Drosophila melanogaster: one gene and its partner. The gene in region 2 interacts genetically with the main gene of each other region. Each region holds a gene or a part of one and is shown on either strand. Other genes may lie near its edges.

Region 1 (6,751 bases), on a different chromosome or scaffold from region 2:
GCTATTGGCGTCGTGCAACATTGCAGGAGCCGGAGCAGGAGCCTTTTCCTGGGCCTGCGCTGCTGCTGCTGGAAGACCGGCCAGAAGAAGAGGAAGGAGGACCTGGCGAACGGACGAACTGGCGAACTGGCGAATGAGCGAAGAAGCGACCATGGGCCATGGGCCATGGGCCACGACCATGTCGCTGATGATTCGCATTCGTGTATCGCAAGCGGGCCACAGCCGCAGCTTTTGGCTTCCCCCGAAATTTGAATCTGCCTGCATCTGAGGACTTAACGAATATGAACGAAATGGCCCGGGGCTGTTTCAAAATATTACCACACTCGAGTATTCGAGCAGGGCTACGTACTACATATACATGCGTTGGACTCCGAGCCCAAGTGAATGCGGAAAATTATGGCGAGGTAGTTGCAGATACAAACACTCAATCACAAGGGCTCCATTTGCATACGCCGCTCCCCCCGCCCAAGTCCAGTCCAGAAATCCATGAGGTCTAAGCAGTCCCATTAGCCATAACCCCTAGAAATCTTAGGCTCTGTCCTGGAAGTGCCTATTCCTTTCGCTCTGAGGGATTGTTCCATTTAAGGGCCTTCTGCTCTAAAGTTACGTTCGTTAATTAGACATTTTTCTAGATGCATTGTGAGCGGGGGAATTTTTAGTGGGCTTATTCAGAATAAATCTTTGGGTTATATTCTACTTATTCGAATATATACTTACTTCTGTCTGTGTGTAATCTTAGAAGGAGATCAATCGAATAAGCAATAGATGATCGTGGTGTTACACCATATATGTACATAAATTCTTTCGAAAAATTCAGAAATGTAATTAGATCTTCAAGTGTACGGTTTTTAAAAAGATTGTATTGTAGTAAATATATCTCAGTACTAGATTTAAAAGTGATGATTTTTGTTGAATTGCCTAAGAAAGTAAATACCTTTCAACATTATTTCCCATGCTACAATCTAATTACATTTTTGGTTGCACATCGTCTGTTAAAATTTTCGGAAAATCACCACTCGAGAGCTGATTGTGATTTGCATGTGGAATGGATTGAAATGGAATGCACTTGTCTGCGGCCGGCAAGGCGGACCAAAAAGAGCGGCTTGCCGCTAAAGGAGTCGCTTGAAGTCGGAGTAAGTGCCACGAAGCCACAAGTCTGGGCAGTAGTCATGCAAGTCCTGCGGCATTCACGAGTTTCCCCCCGGCGATCGCATTTAAGACGCATCTTAAATGAGGTGCTCAGGCCGAGTCCTCCACTCTTGGGCAGTTGCGATCCCCAGCTCCTCGGCTCTTGGGTTAGGAGCCTCCCGGTTAAGAGCCAGCTTATGACTGGCTCAAAGAAAGCTGCCATTTTCGGGAGTGCACTGGTATGGGTTGGGATGTGGATGTGGATGAGGACGTGGATGTAATTGTGGCTGCAATGGTGTAGGTGTGCGGGTCGGTAGTTGGTAGTTGCACAGAGGTGTACTTGGGTGCATTTACCATGGGCACACGGACCACTGTGCATCACGATTTATGCCCGGTGCTGCGGGGAGGACTGGGAATTAATTGGTAATGCGAGCAGTGCATCAGTATCAGTATCCGTATCAGTATCGGTTTTGGCTTTGCCTCGGCATCCGAATCGGGTCTGAAAATGGCGGACCGATCATCGATCGATCGATCGATGGATGGATGGATCGATCGATCGTTCTCTTGTCGTGGCCGCAATCAAAAGTCGTGCCGCCGCAATGAAATCGCTGAAATGGAGGTGGGTCGTCCGGCATTCCACCGCCGCAATTGGATAATGCACCTGATCGCCGCTTCCACTCCACTGCACTCCACTCCACGAAATTTACTGTTTGGCCAGCTCCTCCGAGGTGGCTTCGTGAGTGGCTCCGCGTACATAATGTGCATGTGCAGTCGGCGAGATCACGGTTTCACATCTCATTTCGCCCTGCCACAAATTCGGACTTAATGACTGCGTGCCCGATATACTTTTCCTCCGAGCTTCGCTCCTTCTTTCTCGGCTGAACTTTGCTCTGCTCCCCTGGCAACAGAAGATAGGAGCCCGAATCCATTTGAGTCACTTAGAAAGCTAATGGCATAATTCAATTGGGGCGGACAAACATTCAAAGCTCGGGTTGGGCAATCCGCCGAGTGATTCAATTTTCCACAGCCGCTAATCCTTGTCCCGCTTACTGGCGGATCTAATTGTGTAACCTGAAAACAAAGCAGGAATAAATGAAATGAATGTCTCTTGAGGATTGCGACGCTTACTTTCAGCTTTTCAGCGTGGTTAATAGAACAAGGAATTCAAATGATGGAGATTCATACAGAACACCACGTTGATACTAAAGATTTATTCCTGGTGCTCAAGACTTATCTAAGTCAGCGCCTTTTTAACCCAACTTTCACACTTTAACCAACTTTGTTGATTTCTATGGCCTACTAACACATGTAACTTATAAAAAGGTCTGCTGGTCTAAACGGTGGCAATGGTTGTATTTTATGTTAATTGATTAAACTTTTTTTGCAAAGTCCATATTTTTGGATAGTTTGACACAAAACAATATTGACGAATAAGAATTTTCAGTATGTTTCATTACCTTATTGCTATATTCATGAGTTTGAGTAATGAACTAAAGTTTGCAAAAAGTATTTCGATGCCTTAACAATATCATATAATCGATTTTCTTGCCATCCAAAATTTTTCCTTATTTTCATCTCTATTACTATATTTTTATGGCTTCGCATATGAAAAGTCGTTGACTTTTGTTATTATTATAATTGTTTCATGAAGTACTTATAAAAATCTAACAAATAATTGACTAATTAGTTAACTATCAATATTTAATTTTAAAAAACATCAGAATGGGTAACTTCTATAGCTCTGAAGTTAGTGAAACATAATAGTGTTCCTGATTTGAAGTTGTGAAGCACCTGTCCTTAAATTAATTTTCTGATTTGTTTCGATTTTTTTAATTATAATCGTTGTAAAACTAACTATACTATTTAGATAAAGGTTATTAAAGCGGGACACAAGTAAGAAGTTTGCTTGTTATAAGTTCATTGGCAAGCCAAAATAGTTTGTTTATAGTGAACCTTTAATTTTAAAGAGTGCTTTAATTGTCCTAAGTTCCTCTATCGTGTTATATATAAAAGGGAATTTGTAAATTAGAAATCTTTAAGCATGCGAAGTGGCCTGCTGTTGATTTTCCGTTTGTTTAATCGTTTACAAAAATTTTACCCTCAAATGTTCGAAAGCTACAGCCATAGAAAAAATAAAAATCTGCTATTTTCAGTTTGTTTTGATTATGGCGAGCAAGGACCCACACTCACGCCCTTACATATATGGGTAGATTTTTATGTAGAATATGTAAATCGGGCGGACAGCCTCTTTCACATGGCAACCCCCGAACGTTCGATAAGTACGTAGATACATACATACATAGGTGGGTCGCTTAATCCCCGAGAGAAGAAAGAACCCGGAGCACGTACCACTGGCGATTTGGGCGTCCAATGCCGGGGTTTTCCCAGTAGCAGCCCGGGCTCAGAGATCCAGCAACCCTCGGGGCACGGGTGCGTCGCCAACCCCGGCCATTCGCATGCGATTCCACCCCTATGTATTCGTATTCGTATCCGTATCGCACTCGCATCTCGCGAGCATCCGCATCTGGCAGTGTGGCTGTGTATCCGCATCTGTGTGTCTGTACGCGAGCTGCGCTGCCTGCCGCAGCCTCTGGGTTTTCGGTTTTCGGGCTCGGCCCATTGTCTAGTAGTCCGCTGGCGGGGCGTGGCTTCCGAAATATAAATGGCTGTGCTCTCTTTGGGCGGCGGGCTCTCTTCGGAAGCCGCTCTTCGATGCCCGAAAGCCAGAAAACCTGCTTGCCCGGCGTATCTGTGTGCGCCTCACACCCATACAGACGCGCGGCGCACGGGCATAGGCTTTGGGCACTTTTCCTATGTATTTCGCAGCTGTATGGGAGAAAAAACGGCAGCAGCCGCGGCAGCAGCAGCATCTGCAGCAGCAGCAGCAGCAGCCGCCGCCGCAGCAGCAGCGGCAACATCGCACATCCCCCGAAGGTTTTTGCGTCCAACCAGAAAATCCAACTTCAGTCGAGAACTACGTCTGGTGGCTGCGCAAAGGCGGAATTTCGATTGCGGGTCCTCGCTTAATTAACCAAACCAAACCAAACCGAACCGTACCGAACCAAAACCGTACCGAAACCGCTCCGTTCCGTTCCGAACCGATCCGCACCTAGCCGAACCGAAACGATCGTGGATCCGAACTGCAAATTAGTTCAAATACAATTAAATCACGTCTATTGTCCTTCAATCGGGGAGAGTGCAGTGTATATAGCGGCGGATACGGAACTCTAGCTCCAGCACCCACAGTTGCCTTAACCAGTGCCAAAAATCGATTTTCAATAAATACTTATTTAGTGATCGTACCTGTTTTGCATTGGCCCTGGCCCAAGTGTTCAAAAGAAAACCTATGCTCTCCAACTAGTTGATATCGCCGTCTAATTTGGATCAACATGCACATTCTACACCGCACCAACGACCATCAGTTCGAGGATCAGAAGTTCATGATGGTAAGCTGCGCGCCTTTTGCAGGATACTTCGATCGGAGGAGGGTCGGGTCTATCTATCCAAATTGTCTGTCAGCCGAAATCTGCCCAGGCTAATCCCCGCCCGAGCATCGGCGCAGCTTTAGCTACTCAAAATACTCAAAGATATTGAACCATCGAGTGCCCATGGGCGGACGAGCTTGATTGACACTGAAATTTCTTTGGGCATTTTGGGGCACGCAAGCCTTAAAACCATTGGCCAATTACGACCATTGGCCAGCGATCCGGACCGAGAGATCTGCGCCCGTGATTCACATTCACACACAAGCTGATTACCATTCCGGGCCATTCTAGCAGCAAAATCAATGAGCAATTTACAGTAATGGGTTCTCCTGCGACTCCGTGTGGCACACTCTGCTCTGGGAATAATAAGTACATAAACTTCAACCTGATTGTGCCCACTCCAAGAGTCCGGGGATCACTCAAGTGCCCAAGAGGGTGTGGGGCCCCGAAAGCAGACTGCGATCACAGGCGCATGCAATTCTCTTGTAATTAGAGGTCTTAAACCTTGAAAATGCATCTTCAAATTTAAATTGACTTTTTAAAGTAGGCAGTCTTAAACCTCAAGGAGTCTATTTAAAAATTTTATTAAAGTCAGGATCTAAAACCTGAATACAAACGGTGTTTGTTTATGGTAATCAGACATTCAAGAAGTCAGTTTGCTTTTTTTGTTATCCTAGTCGAGATGCATTGGACACAAATGGACCAAATCGAAATCAAATGTGCATATTCGTATTCAGATTAGGTAATGTTCGATCAGTATCAAAGTATTAATTTTAGTTTCCCAGTATCCTTATAGGTTTTCTTGGGCTGAAAACTCTTTACTAAATGCAATTCTCTATTCAAATATTATAGGGCGACAAGACTAAAGAATATAAAATCTTATTGAAAAAGCCAATGGGTCTGTTAACTTATTTTATTTACTTGTAATTGAGAAACATACCCTTAAAGGATGCAATGTTAGTTGCACTCATTTTTAATTTTATTCTGTTTTTTGAACGGGCAATTTGGAATCATTTATTTTTTAAGACGGCAAAAGTAGCCGTCGGAAAGACGAACCTTAAAACTGTAGCTAGCATATGTATATGTATGTGTATGAAGTCCACTGTTTTTAGAGTAATGATTCTTGAAATCTTTTTAATCTTCTTTTAAATTTCATATACAAATTTATCGTACAATATTTACAGTCTTTGATCGTTTATAATATCTATAACTGTAAATGTAAATCCAAGAGAGAAAGCCATGTTATGCTTTCTATGTTATTTCGATTAAAGTCTCTATAAGATTTGTACTCTTAGTATTAGTATTTGTATCATCAGACATAAGCCTCAAATTAAGCGGTTTGGCTGTTTCAAATATGTGCGTTATGGGAGGGAAACCGTATCTGAAAGTAAAAAAGGTCCTACATTTAATGCACTCACGATTTCGAGGCAGAGAGCAAAAAGTGACGGCGGTGGGAGTGATCAGACGTCAGTGGTCAAAATTCAAATGCGAATATGGAGGAATTCTTGAAATGCGTGGGTACACGCTCCCCCATTTAATTAGCGAAATTATATGGTGTTCTTGCTTCCAAGAACTTTTTCGATGCCCGATAAAAAAATAGGGCAATTTGCGGGGCAAGGGCCAAAGATCAAAACAAAAACACAGCGAAGAGGTAGACCAAAAGTCATCGCCCACAAAAATCCGAGTCCCGCCAGCAAAGTGGGCATGTCGAGTGTGTTGGCATTAGCTTTGGTTTTGGTTTGGTTTGGTTTGGCTGGTCCTGGTACTGGTCCTGGACCTGTCCCTGGCACTCCGAAGACTCCCAAATCAGGTAAGATCCCACTGGGACACTCGCGTGATGCGTTGCCAAAATAATTTATGAGATTGAAGCGCAACGCATCGTCAATTTGCGTGCGATCGCCAACTAAAAAAAGAATGCCATACAGACTGGCAGAAAAGTTCCCATAGCCCAGCTCCCAAATATCAAAAAGTATTCAGCATTGGGCTTATTTATTAGCCAAACTCCGTTTCATCCAAGAGGTTCGGGCTCAAAGCCTGATTGATGGCTTCCCTTATGATTTATTGAATAATTTCTTTATAATTTAGAATAATTGTTCCAATTTACAATGTGCACTTTGTAGGATTGCGAGGCATGTTGG
Region 2 (6,751 bases):
GTAGTCGGGGTCTCCGAGCTGGAGAGATGGATATGGATACGGACTCTCGGATCAGCATCTCACGCCATGGGTAGCCATTGCCACAAAAGGCAGGCCACAGCAGAAACAGGAATTTATGAGGCCTTTTGTATTTGCTCCGAGGCGAAAGTGTTCAGGGGGGGGGGGGGGGGGGATCGAAATTTGGCTGGAGCTGGGGATTTGGGATTGGTACTGGTACAGGTATTGGAACTGGGACCGGGCTGGGAAATGGAAACGGGAAAGGTATACGGACTCGAGACTCTTTGGAGTTGACAAGGGTCACATGCCAACTGGAGGCAGATGCGAAAGGGGCGGGCTGCATTAGTTTTGTTTCAACTACCAGAGGCCTAAATAGTTTATTGCCTAATCAGTGTGAAGAGAACAAAGAAATATTTGAGTATTACAATTAACACAATTAGCAGAGAAAATATTTAAGTCTGATTTTTAAGTGTTTATTTTATTTATTATTCATATTTTACTTGCTTATTTTCATTCTTGCTGATTTTTAATAAACTTATTGCTCAAGTATAGCAAGCATATAAACTTCTTTCCCAACTGGGATTTAAAAAGCTCACCCCATTTGAAGATCTTAATCGTCGGCGTTTAACTGTTTCCCTTTTGGGCCAAAAAGTGAGCAAAACAATTACAAACTATCTGCCGCACTACAGTGGCTCCTCCATTTGCTGAACAACTGATTCAATTCAGTGGACTGGTCGCGGCTTCCGTTTAATTGTGTGGCTCACACGCATTCTGCACGATTTTTCCCCACAAAAATCCCCAACCCTTTCACCTGCCGTCCCCTTCGCCTAAATGCTCGAATGCAGTTCGTTTTCGTGTGTGTGAGTTTGGTTGAGTGTGTGTGTGTGTGCGTGGTAGTGGGTGGTTACTCCTCACGTGTAACAGATGTCTGTAAATTGCTTTACTGACTGACTGACTCGCCAGTTGGCTGTTGGCGGTCGCTTAACTGCTGATGTTGCTGCTGTTGCTCCTGTTTGGTTTGTTGTCAGTCAAAGTGTCAGTATGTATGTGGCTAGCTTGCAGGTGTGAGTGCAGGTGTGACTGTGTGTGTGCGTGCATGTGTATGGGTGAGCATTGCACTTATAACTGCATTAATACGAGCTTATGGCTCACAGAATCGGAGGACCCATTAGTTATTGCTGCTGCGGCTGTTGTTGTTGGCCCAACATGCCACACACACGGCACACGGCGATGGCATTGCTTACAGGTGTGCGGCATTCGCAGCTTGTCAGTGGCCGCGTTTAACGCTACACTTAAACAAACAGCCGCGTGCGTCCACAAACATCGTACACATGCAACCGCTTACGCACACTTGCACACTCACACACACACGCACACGAATGGCGGCGGAAGTAAGGACAACAACAACAGCAGAAGGCCAGGATGTGGCCGCCTATTAAGTGATTTTAACACTTTGCGCATGAAAATTGCAAAAAGGCAACGGCGCGGCGTTGATAATTATCCCTTAATTGCTTAATGAGCGGCACTTGAGCAGCGCCGTCGACAGAAGCGACGTAAGTTTAATTAATGCCAATTTAATTACCACGCCACACACACACACGCACACACACATGAAAGTGGACGCATTTATGGGCTACTACTTACCGTTGTGTGGCACTTAAAAGCCGCACTTACCGCATAGAATTCTCTCACACTTTGTAAGTGAATTAAAGGCTTACTTGTTGTATATCTTAATCAATCGGATATGTTAAAAATATACAAGTTTTTCATAGCTAATTAGTATTATACAAATATTTAAAGTCTTGAATGCTAGGTATTCATGCAAATTGCTTTTCTTTCTACCATTTGAAATGCAATTTTCCAAAAATTCAAATATCTCGAAAATCACCATTAATAAACACTAATTGCTCCCACATATCTTGTTTATCTAAGTGAGCACTGGTTTATAGTTTCGGCCAGAGCTTCGGCCGACTTGTTTCTGGCCTCGAAGTTGGCCGAATGTCTCTATTAGCCAGGGCCATAAGTTATTTGGTTGTTTGGCTTGATTAATGTTCACCTGCCTGTGTGTTCCGAGGAAAACTTAAATCGAACGATGGACTCGGAAGGGGGACTTACTATTCGTAGCAGCCATTCGGACCTCGCTTTGTAGATTGTCAGTGGCAGCTTAGTTTTCGCTCAACCCTTTTCCATTGCCTGCCGGCCGGGGGCAATCTCTTCTTCCAGTGATCTAATCTTGTTATTGCCCTGACCGCCGTCTCCGGTTCCAGGCCGGCATACCCATAAAGACATACACATATAAACATGGACGAGAGTGATTTAGCTGATGTGCCAATTCAATTATTTCTACCTACATAGGATTTTTCCACATGGCACCGGCAAAACATATAAACACCGATAAATGCCATACATACAACAAGCCATGTGGCATATAAAATAGTGAATGTAATTTTATTCACATGTCTGGCCGCAGGCCAATCCGCTTTGCCCGCCGGCACCAAATTGCACAGCAACAGCAGCAACATCAGCCACCCCGGAACCACACGACGCACCTCTCCGCATCTCGGGTGTCGGTCTTTCTTCGGTGTATATATAAATATGTATATATATATATATATATATATGCCACATTATATGCTGGGTACAGGAAGGGGAAAGGGGAGCGGAGCGGACCAGAGAGCTGAAATCCATCATTGGCGCATGGCCCCGGGTCACATTTGGGTTGAAATATTATAATTACAAGCGAACGCCCGCGGGCAAGGCGAGGAGGAAGGTGAACCGAAGCTGGAGCTCCGGCGTCGAACATTGGCATCGCATCGCGAGCTTAGCTTGGCTAACAACCACACTGGAACAAAAGTCGGCTGCTTAGATAGGAAATTAAAGTATTTCACTGAGAGCAAATTTGAAAGAGTTGAGACCAACTGCTGTCCAAGATGGACTGCCAGTTACAAACAGACGCTTTTAGATAGTTTTTTCTTTCAGTGCATGGAAGGGGGTTGGAGGGAACGGGCCAGTTGGACGGGCGATCGAAGTCGCCTGCTGCGGATATGGATACTTAGTTGTGGTGGTTGTGTTTACGTTGCGGCTGATAACATCCCGTTTTGCTGCTGCCGCCGTCGCTGCTGCGCCAGATGTTGCTGCTGCTGCTGCTGCTGCTGCTGCGGCTGGCGTCGTGCCCCATGTTGCATGCAACACGCTCGACGGCACTCGGCACTTAGACCCCAACGAGCCCCCCCAAAACAGTCTTTTCTCAACGGTGGTTCAGTGTGTTTGTGCCGATGGTGTTTGCTTTTGCCTTCGACAACGGCAGCAGGTGAATAACAGTGTCTCTGGCTATTGCCACATGCTTTTTTGCGTTTGTTTTCGCCCAGCCTGGTAACTTGTTGCACGGCACGTGTTTGGACAACTGGCCGGGTGTCCACATTAGTGGGCGGGGCAGCTGCAGCGCAGGATAACAGAAAACAGAGATGAGTGGCATATAATTTAAGAACAACACCGAGTGCCGGTGCCGTTTGCCTATAATTACCCACAACCAGCTACCAACTAACTGGCCAAAGAATCACAGTTTTTTTTTTGTCCCCCAAAATTCATCTACATACATACCAATGCACAAAAATACACATACATACATATGTACAAAGTCCGGCAGCAGGTGACAAGCAGTGTGAAAAAGCTGGGCGCTGGTACCCTCATTATATGCAAAACGCTGCGTCAGGGCCGCCAGCCACTCAAACTTAACTTATTTTTAACTTGCATATTTTTGCCCATTCTACGGCATTACCTCTGCCACTGCCTCAGCCAGTGCCTCTGCCTCTGAATGTCCTTAGGCCATCTTAGTTGCATGTTCGAGCAATCCTTTCCGTTCCGTTCGCTCGTTCCACCCCAAGAAGCTGGAAATAAAGAACTGGTCCTCTCCCATTCATAACTCGCGGCTATATCTTCTTTTGCGTTATATTTCCCTCATTCTGCTTGTCTCTGGGTATCAACTGTCAGTTTTCGAGCTAAAAACGCCGCCGGCTTAGTTTGTAAATCATTAAAATTATGCACACACACACACACATGCCTCACATCCGCACACACTTATTATGTACAATATGCTAGACTGTGTGTGTGTGTGTGTGTTGGGTTTGGTTGGAGAAGTTGGCCAAACTGCATAGGAATCATTATGCAGTTAATGACAAATGTCACGCATTGCTAATGACAAAAGGATGTCGGCAATCGACTCCAGAAGAGGCCCCTTTCCGTTCCACTTTTGCCCCCTCAATTGAAAGGCACTCTCATTTGCGAGAGTCCAGCTTTCACCGACCCCAAGAAATTGGTAAACAAACTAATAAACATAAAGCAACAAATACAATTCAGCACAATTTACCAAATACGTTGCATGAATAAATATTAATCCTGTGTTAAACAACCATATTTTATTTAGTCACTCCATCATATATATTTATTTTTCCTTTTGGGCAGATTATAGTTTGTTTAATGCATTTTATACCCACCTTTTTGTATGGGCTTTAAGGCACTTAAGTATTGCATTAGAATTAAATGGTGCATTAAAAGTATTTTGGGTCAAACTGAAACAATTGAAATAATGTCAACTGCATTATGGCATTTCGATCGAAACATATTTTTAAATCAAAGCCAAATCCTTTAGAATATAACAAATTCCCAAAAACGTAAGCTTAGCATAAATGGCATAATATGAAGGACCAAAAGGATATTCAGTGGTTATTCTTCTATTGATAATTTAATCAATTTAAAGGACAGCGAGTGATAAAAAGGACACAGCTTTAAAAGCTAAACAAACACCTCATTTTGGCACGCATTGCCTGTAAAATGATTACCATTCAAATGTTAATGTAAATGTTGTGCCACATATGGATGAATTGATGGGTGAATGGGTGGATGGGTGGATATTTTGATAGGTGGATGGGTGGATGGGTGGACGGATGGATGCCCGAATTGCTGTGATGGTTGATATGTGGTCGCGCTTGCTGCCACTGCCGCTGCAGTTCGGTCGTGCGTTAAAAATTTAACACGAATTTCAGGCTGCGGCGGCAAAAATGGCATCATTAAGTAAAAGCCCCGCGGCCAGACATTGTGAATTTTATGAGCCTTTTCATATATATGCTTGTGTATATATGGGTATGCTATATATGTTTTTGTTGCTTCCTCGCTGGGTATCGTTAATAATAAAAAATATATGTTCGCTTGTATGTGTGCGCACCCATCCACACATATACATATATACATACTCGTATATTTTAAAGCCCATCATACACATTTGCCATTTGCCCAGCCTTGTGATGATGAGTGTGTGCTCACATAAATAATAGTAATAATAAAAAATCACAATAATGATGATGCTGATGCTGATGGTGTTGGCGGTCGCGGGTGGCGTAAAAAAATCTGCGGAAATTCTCAGCATATGCGATGGCATTTAAATGTTTGTGTTTTCCCATTCAGCATTCAGTATGATATTGATTGACAAGCAAATGCACAAGCGTTGAATAAATATGCAGGCGAGTGGGCGGTATGCCCGCGGGAGGGCGTGGCGAGCGGGCTACTTTAAAAAGCCATCAACAAATAATTACAAACGAGCGCGTAGGAAGTGTATAAATGTCGACGCTGATTTCTGAGCTGATCCGCGGATTCTCTTTTACTACAATATATATCTTTCTATATATATCTATATATATGTATATACATATGTACTTGATGTATGTGACTCCTTGCACCCATATACACCTACCCCCCACTTCGCCCGCCCACCCCACTGCACTGCCCCCAAGCGATCCAAACAATAAAGCATAAAGCGCGCCGCACACATTTTGTCGAATTATTTTGTTGGCAGTCCGCTGGCGGCTAGCTGCAGCAAATTGGCTTGAAATATTGGTATTGCCATATGTATGAGCTTGTGTATGAGTGACTGAATACGTACGACTCTGCCTCTCTCTCTGTGTACGTGTGTATGTGTGTGTGTGCGTGAGCTTGTGATTAAAAAAATATTTAAAATGGCAAAAACGCAAAGCGACGTCAAAATAAAGAAGCCCGCTACCCCATTTTGCCGCTTGAAACAATAAAAGCCCCCCCCCAACAACCCCCCACAGCATTTCCCATTCCATTTGAGTGAGTGAAATGAGCGATAAAATTGCAACAGTTTCCACTCGTCGTACGCATTTGCTGCGATAAAGGATGAAAAATTGAAATGCCACTGCTCACGCGAAACAATTAAAATTTGACATGTTTTATTGAACACTTTAATGCCGGTATTATTTGCAGTTGGCTCCTCGCAATTTACGTGTGTGTGTCCCTAATTTATATAAAAAAAGTAGTAAGCTAAAACGTTTAAAGGCTATCGTGTAAAAAGATATAAAGAAAATCCCTTCCTTATATATATATATATATTTTTTTTTTTTGCTTACCTGCTTTAAGCTGGCATTCAGACACACGGTACACCATCTCTATGGCAGATCGCCGATTCTGGAAATATAGCGAAATATTATTGTGGCGCATGTACTTCAAAATGAATATGGCCGGGGGACAAATAAGCGAGCATTCCGAAACAATTGCCAATGAAAAATGATGCGACAGAACTCTCGGCTTGGGCGGAATTTTGGCCACCACCCCCGCGGGCGTTGCGTTCTCCAGCGGGCGGGGGTGGAAAGTTCGCACTCATTTTAATTACAGCTGCCTAACTGCAGGCCTCACTGTACTCGCTCAGCTCCGTCGTCTCCGCATTCCGCACACCCCTCGCCGC

The links.
Region 1: of twz (region 2) and TfAP-2, changing one suppresses a phenotype caused by changing the other (phenotypic suppression), as found in Drosophila melanogaster (2 studies listed by BioGRID).

Annotation. Positions count from the first base shown.
Region 1 is NT_037436.4:21,594,765-21,601,515, forward strand, and holds the start of TfAP-2 (transcription factor AP-2), read left to right. Parts: upstream 1-4,091; 5' UTR 4,092-4,517; coding exon 4,518-4,574; intron 4,575-6,751.
Region 2 is NT_033778.4:21,572,538-21,579,288, reverse strand, and holds the start of twz (tiwaz), read left to right. Parts: upstream 1-3,253; 5' UTR 3,254-3,307; intron 3,308-6,751. UniProt on the Drosophila melanogaster protein: Functions with the transcription factor TfAP-2 to regulate octopamine neuronal signaling pathways that control behaviors such as male aggression, male mating, and the initiation of feeding.